Linked DNA regions of Oryctolagus cuniculus. The protein of the gene in region 1 interacts with the protein of each later gene in a biochemical or structural test. Links are inferred from orthologs where the notes say so. Each region holds a gene or a part of one and is shown on either strand. Other genes may lie near its edges.

Evidence for each region.
Region 2: of the proteins of LRRK2 (region 1) and MAP2K6, one has a biochemical effect on the other in vitro, tested with the Homo sapiens proteins (2 studies listed by BioGRID). The link is inferred for Oryctolagus cuniculus from reciprocal best matches to the Homo sapiens genes LRRK2 and MAP2K6.

The regions. Positions count from the first base shown.
Region 1 is NC_091440.1:131,853,727-131,861,546, reverse strand, and holds part of LRRK2 (leucine-rich repeat serine/threonine-protein kinase 2), read right to left. Parts: intron 3,033-7,820; coding exon 2,845-3,032; intron 2,025-2,844; coding exon 1,870-2,024; intron 535-1,869; coding exon 388-534; intron 254-387; coding exon 62-253; intron 1-61. UniProt on the Homo sapiens protein: Serine/threonine-protein kinase which phosphorylates a broad range of proteins involved in multiple processes such as neuronal plasticity, innate immunity, autophagy, and vesicle trafficking.
Region 2 is NC_091448.1:10,246,533-10,254,352, forward strand, and holds part of MAP2K6 (dual specificity mitogen-activated protein kinase kinase 6), read right to left. Parts: intron 7,185-7,820; coding exon 7,068-7,184; intron 6,434-7,067; coding exon 6,382-6,433; intron 4,076-6,381; coding exon 3,948-4,075; intron 2,151-3,947; coding exon 2,073-2,150; intron 302-2,072; coding exon 162-301; intron 1-161. UniProt on the Homo sapiens protein: Dual specificity protein kinase which acts as an essential component of the MAP kinase signal transduction pathway.

The DNA of each region.
Region 1 (7,820 bases):
CAGGCCCTTCACAAACACTGAAGCATCATCGAAGACATGAGAACACTGTACCAAAGCGTACCTTCTTCTGCTTTCTTCATCAAGTCATCCAGTAAGATTTTTTGATGTTCTTCACCGTCATTAAAACTATACAATGCCCACTTCTTTAAAAGGGTTTCTCCTTCGCCGCAGATGTCAATCTCCAGCAGCCCAGGAAACCACTCCTCCATGAGAGAGTCAATGTGGTCCACGACTTGGCCCAGTAGAATGCAGCCTGCATAATCCAGAACAGAGTTCAGTTGTCCGTCTACGTCTTGCCTGCCCCAGAGCTGGGGAAGAACTGCGAAGACTTCAAGTTAGATCTCCTTAGAAGTGTGCACAATTCACAGTTTAAATCGGTTCCCCTACCTTTTCTACAAGAAGGAACTGTAATCTTTAAGAAACTCTCTGGGTGATGGTCTAAGACTTCAGATCCCACCAGGCAGTAAGCTTCAGGAGACCAGTTCAGGTAGATGCCCTGGCGCCAGTACATTCTGTTGGGGCGAAGCGCTCGTTCTGAAAGAGGGTCAGATGGATCCGGGAATCAGTGACCCCACGTAAATGGGGGGAGGCTGACAGTACTGCACACACAAGACACAGTATTCAAACCTATCTGTGTTCAGAGAAGGCTGTGGCTTGTTAGTGACACACATCTTCATGGTATCGACTAACTACCCAGCAGTATTCAATAGTTCACCCTTAATTTTGCAACAAAATTAATTACTTGTGCTATAGAAGACCAAAGATACATTTTCAGTTCATACTGATAAGCACTTTAATATGATTAACAAATAATGAAGTGTAAATAAGCACACTTTTTACAAGATTTATTTACTCTAAATGCTTAGCATCAGAGGGCGAGATAGAGAGAGAGAGAGATCAAGAGAGACAGTTTGCACATCAATCAACCCCTCAAATGCCTGTAACAGCGAAGTGTGGTCCAAGCCAAAGGCAGAAGGCAGGAACTCCATCTGGTTCTCCCACAGGGGCAGTAGGAACTCAAGTCCTTGGGCCACCAGCTATTGCCCTCCCCTGTGCAACAGCAGGGAGAGGGAATGGAAGCAGAGCAGCCAAGCCAGGACTCAAACTGGCACTCCAATACGGGATGCCTGTGTGACAAGTGGTAGATTAACCCACTACAACACAATGCCAGCCACCCTCATAATGTTTTGATGGTCACAGTAAAACTAAAACCTCCTGAGCAGTCTAACTACTTATATGTGGATTAATTACCAGCAAGATAAAGTTTATTTTGGAAAAAATATTTTTAAAAAATTGGTGTTTTCCCTTTGAGGCACTTAGACATCTCTTCAGTTTAAGAAAAACAGCTGACTTCATAAACATCCATTTTTGTTCTTTTTGTCAGTTGCTTGAGGATGGTACAACAGAACACAGACATTATGGGCCCTCCACGGCGCGGCCAGAACCTGTCACATCTGTTGACTAACCTCATTGATTATATAGTAATCATTGCATTTTTGTCTTTCATGAGTGTGTGTGTGTGTGTGTGTGTGTGTGTGAGAGAGAGAGAGAGAGAGAGAGAGACAATGAATTCTAACTAATCTCACCTTTTAAAATTATTGTTTACAATTTGCTGTGGGCATGGAAAACAAGATATTAATGCTTGCTGGGAACGTGTTAAAGCACTTGGGATGGGCCGGCTCGAGGGCCTGAGGGATGTTCTTCCTGACACATGGCCTGAGTCTGTGTGTGCTCATGCACCTTTGTACTGGCCAAGCTCAGTTCTCAGGAGCTTGTCTTCCAGAAAGGCAAACTCAAGGAAACTGGCATATAATGTTTAAAATGCTCTGCCCCTAACTTTTGTAAATACTGTCTTCAGTATAAACTTACCTCTTCCCGAAAGCATGTAAGGTGAGATCTCAAGTAACCGGTTAATTAATCTTGACCAAAACCCCATGGGGAAATAAGGCATTTCATAGAGCCGGATGATGATTTCCGAGTTCTCACAGTGTGGAAGCTCTATTACGGGCCGGTGGTCAGAGAGACTAAAGGGAAGAGGACATCGTCTTTAGGAAGCACCAACATCACCAGCCACGTTGACCAAAGCACTTACTACTCGAAACCAAGGAAGCCAACCACTGTAACTGGTGACACACTCTGCAAGATTCTCCACTCTTTGCTCTTCTTGTATCAAATGTTTGATGGGCATTTGATCAACTCAGTGCATACTCAGATATAATAGATGCAGGAAAGGTTTTCAGTAACCCTTTGTATCCAAATCATTTATTATAGTTAGCCATTTACAAAAATATCGATTTTATAAAACTTGAAAAAATGAGCTCAAAAAAAGTATCTTTTTTAGAATTGCTTGCCGTCCATCACTGTCATTTGCACCTTTCAACATCATAACACTTTATGGACTTCCCAGGTTGCTCAGAAAGCAATGAGGACAAATTTCTACAACACAGGACCAGAATTTAGGATTTCATTGTGATGGAATGAATCATTTAAAAACTCTGATCCACTTCCCTAATACAGAAATTCTCTCAGCACTGTGTGAATAGGGATACAGACACACACACACACACACACACACACACACACACACCCCTCTAATACTGACCCTTCTTAAGTAACTTAAGCAATAGTAAACCAAAGAGTAATTATATAAATAAAATAAGCCATTTGCTATGAACCATCAAACACATTGTTTTAATTAAAAGCAAATGCTATATTTCAGTACAAAGTTTACACAAGAGGCTAAAAATTTCATACATCTATTATAAACTGATTTTATCTGACCATTAAAACAAGGCAGTAGGTCATTAATTTTCATGGCGTAATAGTTTTAATGGGTTATTTTACCTGCTTGGAACCAGTAAGTACTCTTCTCCTATTGGCAAGGCGATCTGGAATTTTTCCAGGAGTTTAACGTACTGTGTCATGTAATTCTTTGGAAATCTCCTTTTCTTCGACAGGAATTTTTCCACATCTCTACGTGAAATAATTCCCTTAGGATGTTTCGGATAGCCTTCCACTTTCACTGTCAAAATCTGAAGAATTCGAACTCATAAATATCAATCACTAGCACTCATTTTCTGAAATATTTCAAATTTAAAGTGACATGAAATGCTTTGTTAAATTGTCAGAGAAGGTCTTAGAATTTTTAAAAAATTAAACAAATAAATGGTTTTCCTTATCAACTAACCTGTGAGAGCAATCTGAGTTTCCTGTAAGGTACAGAATGCAGCAGGAGTCCTGACTACCATTTCTATTAATTAATGGTCCACTGTTCCTGGTCTTCTGATAACAATACAAACTATTATGCATTCATTGACTACAATTCATGTCAAGTGCAAATGACCAGAACAATTTAAATGTTGTTAAGTACAACTGGGGACCTAATTTCTCTAGTAGCCTTGAATCCCAAGAGGGTACCCACCCTTCCCAATGTTTGTTAAATTAAGAGTCTGAGTTCAGATCACAAATATCCTCTGAACCTCAAGACTTCCCCGCTCTAATTCAATGATAAATCCAATACAGCACATCTGTACTGCAGCCTCATCAGTAACACAGTCCTGGAAAAGTGCTCTCTGCCAGTCACCCCTCCAGGTGTGCAGCAGAAAGATCACCCGATGGGTACAGAACAGGCGAGGTTTCTGTTCCTGGGCAGAGGCGGAGGAGAACAGTCAGTGAGTCTCAGAGTAACTACGCTTCTGCTGGATCTGCTCCCAGAGTCTGGGTCAGCAGGCTGGGCTGAGGCCCAAGAATCTGCTTTTGAAATAAGCAACCTGGGGGCTGGCGCTGTGGCGCAGTAGGTTAATCCTCCACCCAAGGCACCAGCATCCCATATGGGCACTGGTTCTAGTTCCATTTGCTCCTCTTCCAGTCCAGCTCTCTGCTGTGGCCTGGAAAAGCAGTAGAAGATGGCCCAAGTCCTTGGGCCCCTGCACCATGTGGGAGACCTGGAAGAAGCTCCTGGCTCCTGGTTTCAGATCGGTGCAGCTCTGGCTGTTGTGGCCATTTGGGGAGTGAACCAACGGATGGAAGACCTCTCTCTCTGTCTCTCCCTCTCACTGTCTGTGACTCTACCTCTCAAATAAATAAATAAAAAATCTTAAAAAAAAAGAAAGAAGCAAACTGGACAATTCTAACACGGAGACCACAATGTGAGCCTTGATCAAGTCTCACTTGGTCACTTGAGACGAACCCAGGTTCAAATCCAGGCTCTGAAGCAAGTGGGGTGACTTCAGAAAAGGGATTTAATTTCTTTAAGGCACAGCCTCCTTCTCTGTAAAAGGAGATGAAAACAATGACTGTCCCTTAGATTTCCACGAGAGTGGAAAGTGCTTGTGACACACACACAGTCAGCCCTTGCATTTTAGCTCTAGCTACCTACAGACTCTCTCTTCCTTAGCCGAATTCATTCCCAAAAGTAGCTTGGGCTTAATTCTCTCCAGGTCCAGCATGCTTGAGCAATATTTTAGTAGCAACAAACACTATTTTTGTTGCCATGTACTGCGCAATACACTGAACTGTAAAATCCTTAGGTCCAGGGACTGCTCTGACCATGTCTACGCTCCTGTTTTGTGTATATGGTATTTGCTGAATCAATGAACGAATGACTGTTTGAACATACTGGTATTTAAAGACAAGGTACAAAGGGCCATTAATAGATGAAAGCTAGTTCAGAATTCATCTCAACTGTGGACTTTACAGGAGACCCAGTTTGTCCAAACTTGTTAGGTGGAGAGCAAAACCGTTTCCTATTTTAGTAGGAATATCGTTGGATGAATGAACTCGGAAGTGACATCTGGGGTGTCTTACCTTAACTGACAGGCACTCAAGTCCAACTACTCAGCTTGAAATCCTAACTAATTCTTCTGAACAACATAGTGCTAGGTGAATTATTCACCCTTTCTGCCCATCAATTTCCACTTCTCCATGCTGTGTATGTGAGCCATTATTGTCTAGTTATTCTAATTTGTTTTAGTTAGATGAACTCATTTAAAAACCTCTGTGCTGAATTTTTTCTGCAGATCTGTATATTATGCTATCACTTTTTATAATGGTTTCCAAAGACCGATATCATCAGTGCTTCCCCTATACATGTGTCCTGCTCAATTCATGAAGAAGCAGAGTCCATTCTCTTCCCCCTTGAATCCAGGATGGCCTGATGGTTGCTCTGGTCACTGGACGGTAGCAGAACTGACATTTTGCCAGTTCTGGAGCTACACTTTAAGAGGACTGGTAACTTGCACTTTGTTCCTGTTGGCTGTCAGTCAGCATGTGAGGTATCTAATCACCCTGTGACCATCATGCCATGATGAAGCCCACCTGGGCTACCAGAGGGGCACCAATACACCCCAAATGTGCAGAGATATTTCCAGAGCCTTCCAGCCCAGCTCAGTGAACCATGACAAGTGAACAGCCTTTGCCCAGCACCACGTGGGAAGGAACCACTCTGCTGAGCCCACTCAACCCAGAGACGAGTGAGAGATTACAAACTATTGGTATCTTAAGTCTACAAGTTTGGGAATGCCTTATTACACAGCAATAAAACCTGAAATACTATCTTAATTACATTATCTTTAAAAGATATAACTTCTTACCCTAGTGACTTGCATGGCTGACTTGCACTCTCATTCAAGGAAATACCATTTCCCCAGTTCCTCTGTATTTCTTCCATGTATTATTTTTTTTTTAAAGATTAAATTGCCAAGAAAGCATTCTAATGCTCCACTTGATTAAATCAACAAGCCCTCTTGGAATCACCCTAAATGCCCATCACCAAAGACTGGATAAAGAAATTATGGGATATGTACACTATGGAATACTACACAGCACTAAAAAATGAAATCTGGTCATTTACAACAAAATGGATGAATATGGAAAACATCATAGTGAAATAAGCCAGTCCCCAAGGGACAAATACCTTATGCTCTCCCTGATCCTTGAGAACTAATAGAGCACCTAAAACGAAATCTGTAGAAGTGAAATTGACACTTTCTAAAGGGATGACTTGAGCTGCCCTTATCTTGATGTTGAGAGACAGTTTTGTCTTTTTTATTTTTTCTGTTTTTTTTTCTTCATACTATTTGTTGAACTCTTTACTTAACATAGAGTTTATCATATGTGTATAAACTCAAATGAGGATGGATCTCAGTAAAAAATAAGAGTGGGAATAAAAGAGGAAGGAGGAAGTTTGTAACTGTAAAGCTGTAGAGTTCTGCAAACATTCCTATGGACTTCTAAGGGTACAGTTTAAAAGCTTGACATGAGACCCCAAATCCCATTAAACTGGGTGGTAAAAAATGCCACCTCAAGTGTTAAAGTGATCACATAAATAGGATCAAGTGTCTGGTAATAATAATGGATAGAAATAAAAAGGAGAGAATGTTCCAACATGGGAAGCAGTCCACACAGCAGAATCTCATAATTACAATTGCTTAAATAACACTCTGAACTCAGAATCAGCCCTTAAGGCTTCCTGATCTGGCTGAAAAGCCCCTGAGAGCATTTTAGGCATGGACAGCCAGAACTCCGCGGCAAAAAATCTTCTACATGAAGGATCTCTGTGAGTGAGATCCCAGAGGAAAGAAGTGGCCATCATAGCAGGATGTTCTCTAAAGGGAGGAGAGAACTACTTTGCCTGTGGCCTTGTCTAAATACTGACAGATTTTGTGGATTCAAAAGGATTCCATAGCCTAGGCAGCTCACATCAAGAACCTCAAGTGATCACTGATATCATACATAATAGTGTTAATTGTTAAATTAACAACATGAGTCACTGTGCACTAAATTGTTCTCAGTTATGTGTGTGTGTGTGTGTGAGCAAATTGTTAAAATATTTACTCAGTATAGAGTTGGTCTTCTGTGTACAAAGTTAACTGAAAATGAATCTTAGTGGAGAATGAGACGAGGAAGGGAAGGAGGAGGAAGGGTGGGAGGGTGAGTATGCTGGGAAGAGTAACCATATTCCTAAAGTTGTACTAATGAAATTTGTATTCCTTAAATAATTAACAAAAAAAAGAATAAATTGCCAAGCAAGCATGCCTTTTTTTTTTCTTTTTCATGTCTTTCTCACACAGCTAAGTAAGTTTCACAAACTCCTCCCTGAGTTGACAGCAATGCAGGGTACAGGAGGGTGGGTGGGCTCCTCTGAGCTCCTGCACCTCGGAGTTGTTCTCACCCCAGCCCTGGTGACTCATGGAGGGAAGACCCCTGTTTATTTCTGCTGATGGTGTCAGACAAGTGGCTCTTGTTCGCGCTTGACTATTTATAGTTTCCATTCCCTGTGAAGCTAAGTGAAAAATGGCATTGTATTTGAATTTATCAGCATAAATAAAAACGATGGGATTTATTTTTCAAGTGAATGAGAAATCTAAATTTACATTTTTCCTGACATTTCAAATCTGTGCAAGTAACTGAGCTATTCAACCTCTGGATTTCATTTCCACTTCAATTAGCAAGTTTGTATTCTAAGTATGCTAGTGAGAAGAAATTTCATGGAGTTTCAACTTAATTACTCCACAGAACCTGGGAAGATCACTGTGTGGGAACCAGCTTGTTTAAGAAAAGCCCGGTTTTCACTCACAGCTGCTTCTCACTCTACCCTAGCAGACATGCTCACCCAAAAATCATTTACATACATGTGACTTCAGATGTCCCAAAGCCTCACGAAACCTCTCTCTCCCGGGGGGAGTTCTGGTCTTTTCTTGGCTGCACACAGCTTGGCTGTTTTCTGACAGTTACAGTGTGCCACCCAGGAAGACAAATCTGCCAGGTCTGTCGAAAACTCCCTTTCCTGTATGGGATGCAGCTACTTGCATACATTTTTT
Region 2 (7,820 bases), on another chromosome or scaffold:
TTTGAGCTCAGTGAGGGCAAGGATGTGATAGGGTCATCTTTGTCTCTCCAGCATAGAGGGTGTATTCCATAAATGCTATCGGAATGAATGTATGTGGAATGTACTAAACCTGGTGGAAGATTCTCTTTTAGCACTGACAGTTGGATATGAGGCTCTCTTACCACTGTGAGGTAAAGTCAACAAATTCTGCAGAGAACTTGTCTGCTGGGAGTTGTGGCGATGGCTCTTCTACCACCTGTTTGAGTTGCTGGAAGGGAGTGCCCCAAGAATCATAGGGAAACCGGAGGATGGCCAACTCAATCTAGGAGAGGAAACAAGGAGACAACTGTTTAAACTGGACTGACTTAGACAATCAGCAGGTTTCATTCCAGGAAAGCCAGAGGGAAATACAAATCTCCCTGAAGTTCAAGTTTAATTTTGTGAAAAATAAACAAACTGTTATTTTTCCCCAAGTTCCTAGAGTTAGTGATTTTTTTATTTATTTATTTGAAAGTCAGAGTTACACAGAGAGGAGAGGCAGAGAGAGAGAGAGAGAGAGAGAGAGAGAGAGAGAGAGAGGTCTTCTATCTGATGGTTCACTCCCCTATTGGCTGCAATGGCCGGAGCTGTGCTGATCTGAAGCCAGGAGCCAGGAGCTTCCTCTAGGTCTCACACATGGGTACAGGAGCCCAAGCACTTGGGCCATCCTCCACTGCTCTCCCAGGCCATAGCAGAGAGCTGGATGGGAAGAGGAGCAGCCGGAACTTGAACCAGTGCCCATATGAGATGCCAGCGCTTCAGGCCAGGGTTTTAACCCACTGCACCACAGTGCTGGCCCCTAGAGTTAGTGATTTTAAAATAATACCTAACTACAGAAGGCCATGTAAACTCATCTAAAGTTGGGTAGGTTTTGTGGTATAGTGGGTTAAGGAGGCCTGGGACCAAGTCTCTCCTGTACTTCCAGTCCAGCTTCCTGTTAACATGCACCCTGGGAGGCAGCAGGTGAAGGCTCAAGTACTTGGGTCCCTCCACCCACACAGGAGACTTGGATGGAAGTCCTGGCTCCTGGCTTCAGCCTGACCCAGCACTGGCTGTTGCAAGTATTTGATCTCTCTCTCTCTCTCTCTCTCTCTCTTTCTCTCTCTCTGCCTTTCAAAGAAACAAAAGAAACTTTAAAATAAACTTATCAGAAACTAAGTTGTTCACTAAAATCAACTGTTGTGCTTCACAAACATTCTAAGACAACCTAAAGCAATCAGGTTTTCAAATGTTTGGTCTGAAAAGTAAATCACACTGGAAGACCTAGACAGAGCTGGACATCTGCTGCCACCTGCAGGTCAGTTGGTGAAAAAGGGAGGAAAAAAGTAATCTAGGACCAAATGACTGATCTGTTTTTGGACTTGATTAAAGACCACTTTGCTGTGCTGGGATCACGTGTTTTCTGGGCATAGATGTGAAATAACTCACAGGATTTACTCAGCTGCTGTGCCTGGAAAGGATCCAGGACTATTGTGGATAATTCTAGACTTTAGTGATACACTGAAAATTTATGATCACCAAAGTTCTAAATAACACACTCTTTGTATAAATGTAGGGCCATGCCAAAGAACATTGAGCTATTTGTTACCAAGTCTTTAGAATATCCCTGACCTGTTCAATAGTCAAGACATCTAAAATAAAAATGCCCTGGGAAGCAGAGTCCATGTCTTGGATAACAAAGATCTTTGGGACTCTTTCTGTAGCTTCAACTTCTTGCCTTAACTACAACAATTTAAATTTTAAACCCTAGGTAGCATCTAGTCAAACACTCTCACTTTCTAGATGAGGACAGAAAGCCCATGTAATTACACCATTTACTCAAGGGCATATAATTATTAAGAGGTAGAATAAAGAGAAAATTCGGTTTGCCCAATACCAGTTCAATGCTTCTACTTCACAACACTGTAAATAATTATCTCTCAAAATCTCCTGCCAGTGCAGGCAAAAATGAATGATGAAGGCTAGCATTTAGGATATTGCAGCTTGGTCCCAAAATCCACCCATTGCAGCTTCGTTCCCAGAACCTCAAGTCCATGTTGATTATCATACACTACCATGGTGATGCCCAGACTCCAAATGTCAGACTTCACACTGTATCCCTTCTGGTTGAGCTCTGGGTTTATTCTTTCAGGCTGGAAAGGAGAGAGACAAGTGAGAAACTGGAAAGATAACTGAGATGACATTTTTAGCTCAATAAAGTCTTTGGGATGGGGGTCAGCACCACCGCCAAGTGAGCTGTTTTAAGCTGCTAACATGACTCAGGTCAGAAAGACTCCATAAATATAACAAATAACCATATCTCCATGGGGTTTTCCAGATATGTTAGTCTTTTCTCAGAGACAATAATGGGTCAATGTTCATTCCCAACAAATTTTAATTTTGCCCTAAGAAGAAACAGGTTATATGTCATAAAACTCCTTTGTCCATCTAGATTTACTCTTGTTAAAAATACCAACAGTAGGGCCGGCGCCGCGGCTCACTAGGCTAATCCTCCGCCTTGCGACGCCAGCACACCGCGTTCTAGTCCAGGTCGGGGCACCAGATTCTGTCCCGTCTGCCCCTCTTCCAGGCCAGCTCTCTGCTGTGGTCAGGGAGTACAGTGGAGGATGGCCCAAGTGCTTGGGCCCTGCACCCCATGGGAGACCAGGAGAAGCACCTGGCTCCTGCCATTGGATCAGTGCGGTGCACAGGCCGCAGCGCGCTGGCCGCAGCGGCCATTGGAGGGTGAACCAACGGCAAAGGAAGACCTTTCTTTCTGTCTGTCTCTCTCACTGTCCACTCTGCCTGTCAAAAAAAATATATATATATACCAACACTAATAAGAATCCCCAAGAGTGACCGAGCTCTGTCGGGTGAGAACACACCCAAGAAGCTTTCATCTAAAGACAAATGGGAAGCTTTGCAATCCCAAACACAAGTCCATTTCCAAGCAGGATACTCCCTCAGTTAACGAAGATCCCAAGGTCTCTGCTAACGGCAATGAATGTACACAGTTGTGAGGTTCTCTCACGATGAAATGGCCTTCCTTTGAGTGATTTAAATTCTACTTGCTATCCTGTCCTCAACAAACAAGGCGACATTCACCTACAAGTCACCGTGGAAATTCTGTGAGCTGTATGTATTACTTGTGAGTTTTTTCAAAGAGTGTATTGCTTTGATTTTTAGGAAAACAAATTTCGAACACTGTAGTCTGAATGTTTGTGTCCCCCCAAAATGTTGAAAGTCATCCCAATGTGCAGGCATTAGGGGGCAGAGCCTTTGTGTAGTGAGTAGGCTTCAGCACCAGCTCCAGCAGTGCCCTGAGAGAAGAGGCTCTGTAGTGAACCCCTTGTCTCCACCACATGTGAGGGCACAGCTAGAAGGCTCTGTAGTGAACCCCTTGTCTCCACCACATGTGAGGGCACAGCTAGAAGGCTCTGTAGTGAACCCCTTGTCTCCACCACATGTGAGGGCACAGCTAGAAGGCTCTGTAGTGAACCCCTTGTCTCCACCACATGTGAGGGCACAGCTAGAAGGCTCTGTAGTGAACCCCTTGTCTCCACCACATGTGAGGGCACAGCTAGAAAGAAGGCACCATCTGCGAACCAGACAAAAACAGACCCTGAATCTGAAAGCACTCTGATTGTAGACTTCCCAGCCTCCAAAATGGTGAGAAATACATTTCTGTTGCTTATCACCCCTGAGTTTACTCGTATTTTGTTAAATGTGACCAAAGGCACTAAGACAATGTATGAAGCCAGTGACTAAGGATTTCAGACCGGAAATCTTTAGGAATAAAGAAGATACAGAATATTTCTTGAGTCCTCAGGCACATTTCCACTTTTTTTTTTTTTTTTCAGTGGCTATCACCAATTTCGTACTTCCTGGAAGGTGCTAGGAAGTTTTGCCAGCACATTCATTCTGACACCATCCCCAGCTGCTATACTTACGGCCATGTATGGTTTGCAACCCGCATCAATTGTTTTAGCAACTGAATCCACCAGGTAGCCACTGATTCCAAAGTCACACATCTTCACTTGGCCCAGGGTATTAATCAGCACATTAGAAGGCTTGACGTCTGAAATAAGAACAACCGGAATCCATGATTCCAGCCTGCTTGGAAGTTCATCTCTCTGCCAGCAGGTGGCCTGAAATCTCTACTTGCCCTTCATCTTCTTTGCCCTAAGCTGCCCAAGACAAAAGTAACTGTCAACCTGGACACATACTTAAACACTACTCACTGCTTTCAGCTTGATTTTCCATTTCATGTTTAGTAGTTTTCTTGAAGGATTGCAATTAAAAATCAAGAAAAAAAATGATTTCCTCTACTCAGCTTTTCACCTTCATTGCCCCCACACATGTACCATGAACTTAAAAAACTATTGCTGTACCACATGCTCAGTTCAAAATAATCTGTTGCATACAGGGTACTTTGAAAAGTTCCTGGAAAATGAAATTAGAGGATAAGTTTATTTTGGCACAAAAAAAGATGAAATCTATGCATAAAAGAGTTCTTCAAAAGTTTGTAGAAAATGTGTTATGAAAAATCTACGTATGCATTAAAAATTCTGTACCAAAATAATTGTGTATTTTAGTTGCATGAATTTTTTAAGTACCTTCACATATACTGGAGGAGTAGTAGAAGAAGGAATGAAAAGGTAGATTTTAATACAATGATGATACACTAGCCGGCGCCGTGGCTCAATAGGCTAATCCTCCACCTTGCGGCGCCGGCACACAGGGTTCTAGTCCCGGTTGGGGTGCCGGATTCTGTCCCGGTTGCCCCTCTTCCAGGCCAGCTCTCTGCTATGGCCAGGGAGTGCAGTGGAGGATGGCCCAGGTGCTTGGGCCCTGCACCCCATGGGAGACCAGGAAAAGCACCTGGCTCCTGGCTCCTGCCAGGATCAGCGCGGTGCGCCGGCTGCAGCGGCGGCCATTGGAGGGTGAACCAACGGCAAAGGAAGACCTTTCTCTCTCTGTCTCTCTCTCTCACTGTCCACTCTGCCTGTCAAAAAAAAAAAAAAAAATGATGATACACTAACGAGGATCAAAGCAACCAGTTCTGCAAGAGACGTTTCAGGTATCACCATAGGGTAACACACAATAAACCCAGTATTCCAGAAATACGGGGCAGATCATGGGAGAAAGGGCATTACTAGGTGGATTTTAAGTGAGTTCTGTGGACTTGAAAGATATAACCTACCTATTCACATGCTCAAAAAATGAATTATTGTTATATCTGGGTAATGAAATTAGAAAATAGTTATTTTTTCCATTTATGACATTCTTTATAAGGAACATGGAATCAGAAGGAGATAGTTACTCTAAAAGCCTTAAAAATTATCTTTCATAATTTTTTCCTGAGATTGAATGACATATATATGTAATTCATTTTATTATTTTGTATATCATATATACATTCTCCAATAGGAATTAGTATTTCATAATTTTAAAATAAACCCTTAAAATCAGTTTCACATTTGTTGGCAGTCCATATTCTTTCTCCAATATGTATTCCTCCCTACTTTCTTCTCTTCTTCCTATTTTTCCAATTTTTAAAGACAACAATTAGTAATAATAAAAACAATAATAGGCATACTTTGCAAGGCACTTTACATTATTTACAGCCTCAGAGTTTAAGAACTACCCAAACCACAAAGTTTTATTAGATGAAATTACTTTCCATGAATTTTCTCAAAGACCTAGCCAAAGGCATCTTTACAAAGATTTCCCTGGCTATTGTCTCCCAAAGACCAACAGTTCCTGTTTTCCATTCTACCTATATTTGCATATCTGATGTTGTCATATTTGTAAGGTGGTTTATGTTTTTCCCATGTTCTTTTTGTATCTTTCATTTGGTTCTCTATCAAAAGAGCCACAAGGGAAAAAATGAAGGCAGGAGAGAAGGAAGTGTAAAATCATTTCATTCTGCCTTCTGGCTGTCTGAAATGGTTCTACTTTATACCAGAGACTTTCACACATTTTTTTTGTGCACAAGAGTCAGCTGGGGGCCTTGTTAAAATGCAGAATTCAGATTCATTTGGTGATTCTGCTTTTCTAACAAGCCACCATGTGATGGTCAATATAAGATGGATTTTTATCTATTTTCTAAAATTCTGAATGATGTAATCCCAAGCACTGCTTAGTAACAGGTACTTTATATTCAGCTTAGGTAGACTTTAAAGTCCATGTCTTCCTTAGCTCCCAGCCAAGTTAAAGAAAAAAAAGCTTCTTATTTGATTGGCTATCCAGTCCTCAAAGGAAGCACTTAGTTCTACTGCCTGACTCAACTCCACAGCCATCCTTGGGGAGGGATGGAGGGACTCCAGGTAAAAGAAATAAACTTTATAAGAGGAATAGCCCAGGAAGCTCCATGGTTCTTACCTCGATGAATGACAGAGAGCTTACTGTGTAAATGTTCTAATGCTTTTACAATCTGCAAGAGAAACACAAGATAGATTTATTTACCCTATCACTGGAAAGGAATTGAATGACAAGTATATCCAGGTTTATTATCCCTGGCTTAAGGAGACAGGGTGAGGTATTTTCTTAAATAGTGCTGTCCTATCCAGAAAAATACACAGGGAGTTACACAAATTGACTCCATCCACAAGAGAGGACTGTATCTATAGCAGAGAAGATGCCCCACACTGTCTATCTTGTTTTCATTTGTCCTCAAGAACTGTTTTCCTTCTTTACCCTCCTGAGCCTTAATAACCATTAAGGTCACAGTCATTCCTCCTATTTCTTCTATGCCTATTGGTCTTAAGAAAACATTCAAAACTCTACAAATAAAAATTGAAAACACAGGAATGCAATCATAGCAGATGAACACACTGCTTACAGTCATTTAACCTGGAAATGACAAAACTCAGTCAGTGGGAACATTGCTATGTGGTGCTCATAAGGAAAAAAAATATTTATCCATCTACCAATGAACTCATGCATTCAACAGGCACACGCTGGATGGTAGCTACTGTCCAGGCAGAGTTTCTTCATACTGAACATACATAGACATACATGGCCTGGACTGCTCACATTCTCCTCATGCTTGCTCATGATGTACTCACAGAAACAGCTATTTTCCCTAAGATGTCCTCTGGAATTGTTTGGCCTTTATCAATGACTTGTTTGTAGAATTTATCTAGTGATGTATCCATGAGCTCCATGCAGATCCAGACATCACCCTGAAGATCAATAAGTTCATGGATTGTTAAAGAGAATGGAAAAGGGAAAGACAAGAAACAGTTAACACCAGTCCTCAAGAACTGACCATTGTTTGCTTGAGTTTTGGGAGGAAATGCACATCTTCCCTTCAGGATCTCAAAGGAATTTCTAAGTGAGCAAGATTACCTCCAAAGAGCAACCCAAGTAAAATGTGTTGTGATCTCTCACTCATTCACAGAAACTAGAACCTAATTCCTAATGACCATAAGCAACAGAATCCTAGAAACCCAAGCCTTTACCATCACTGCCATCCAGGAGGATGTCCAGATACCTATCAATCTCTGATTTCTCACACTTGGTCAAAAGTCTGATTTTAAGACTGAGGTAATGCTTCATACTTCATGTAACAGCAAAGTGAAAAATGGAGGTAGAGGAAAAAGATAAAAGGAAATCCAAGGGGTTCATAAACGTATATTTGGCCAAAGGATAAAGCAATCTACAGATTCAATGTAATTCCTATCAAAATACCAATGGCATTCATAACGGAGTTAGAAAAAAAATCCTAAAATTCATATGGAATCACAAAAGATCTTAAATAGCTGAAGCAATCCTGAACAAGAAAAACCAAGCTAGAGGCATCACAATACCTGATTTTG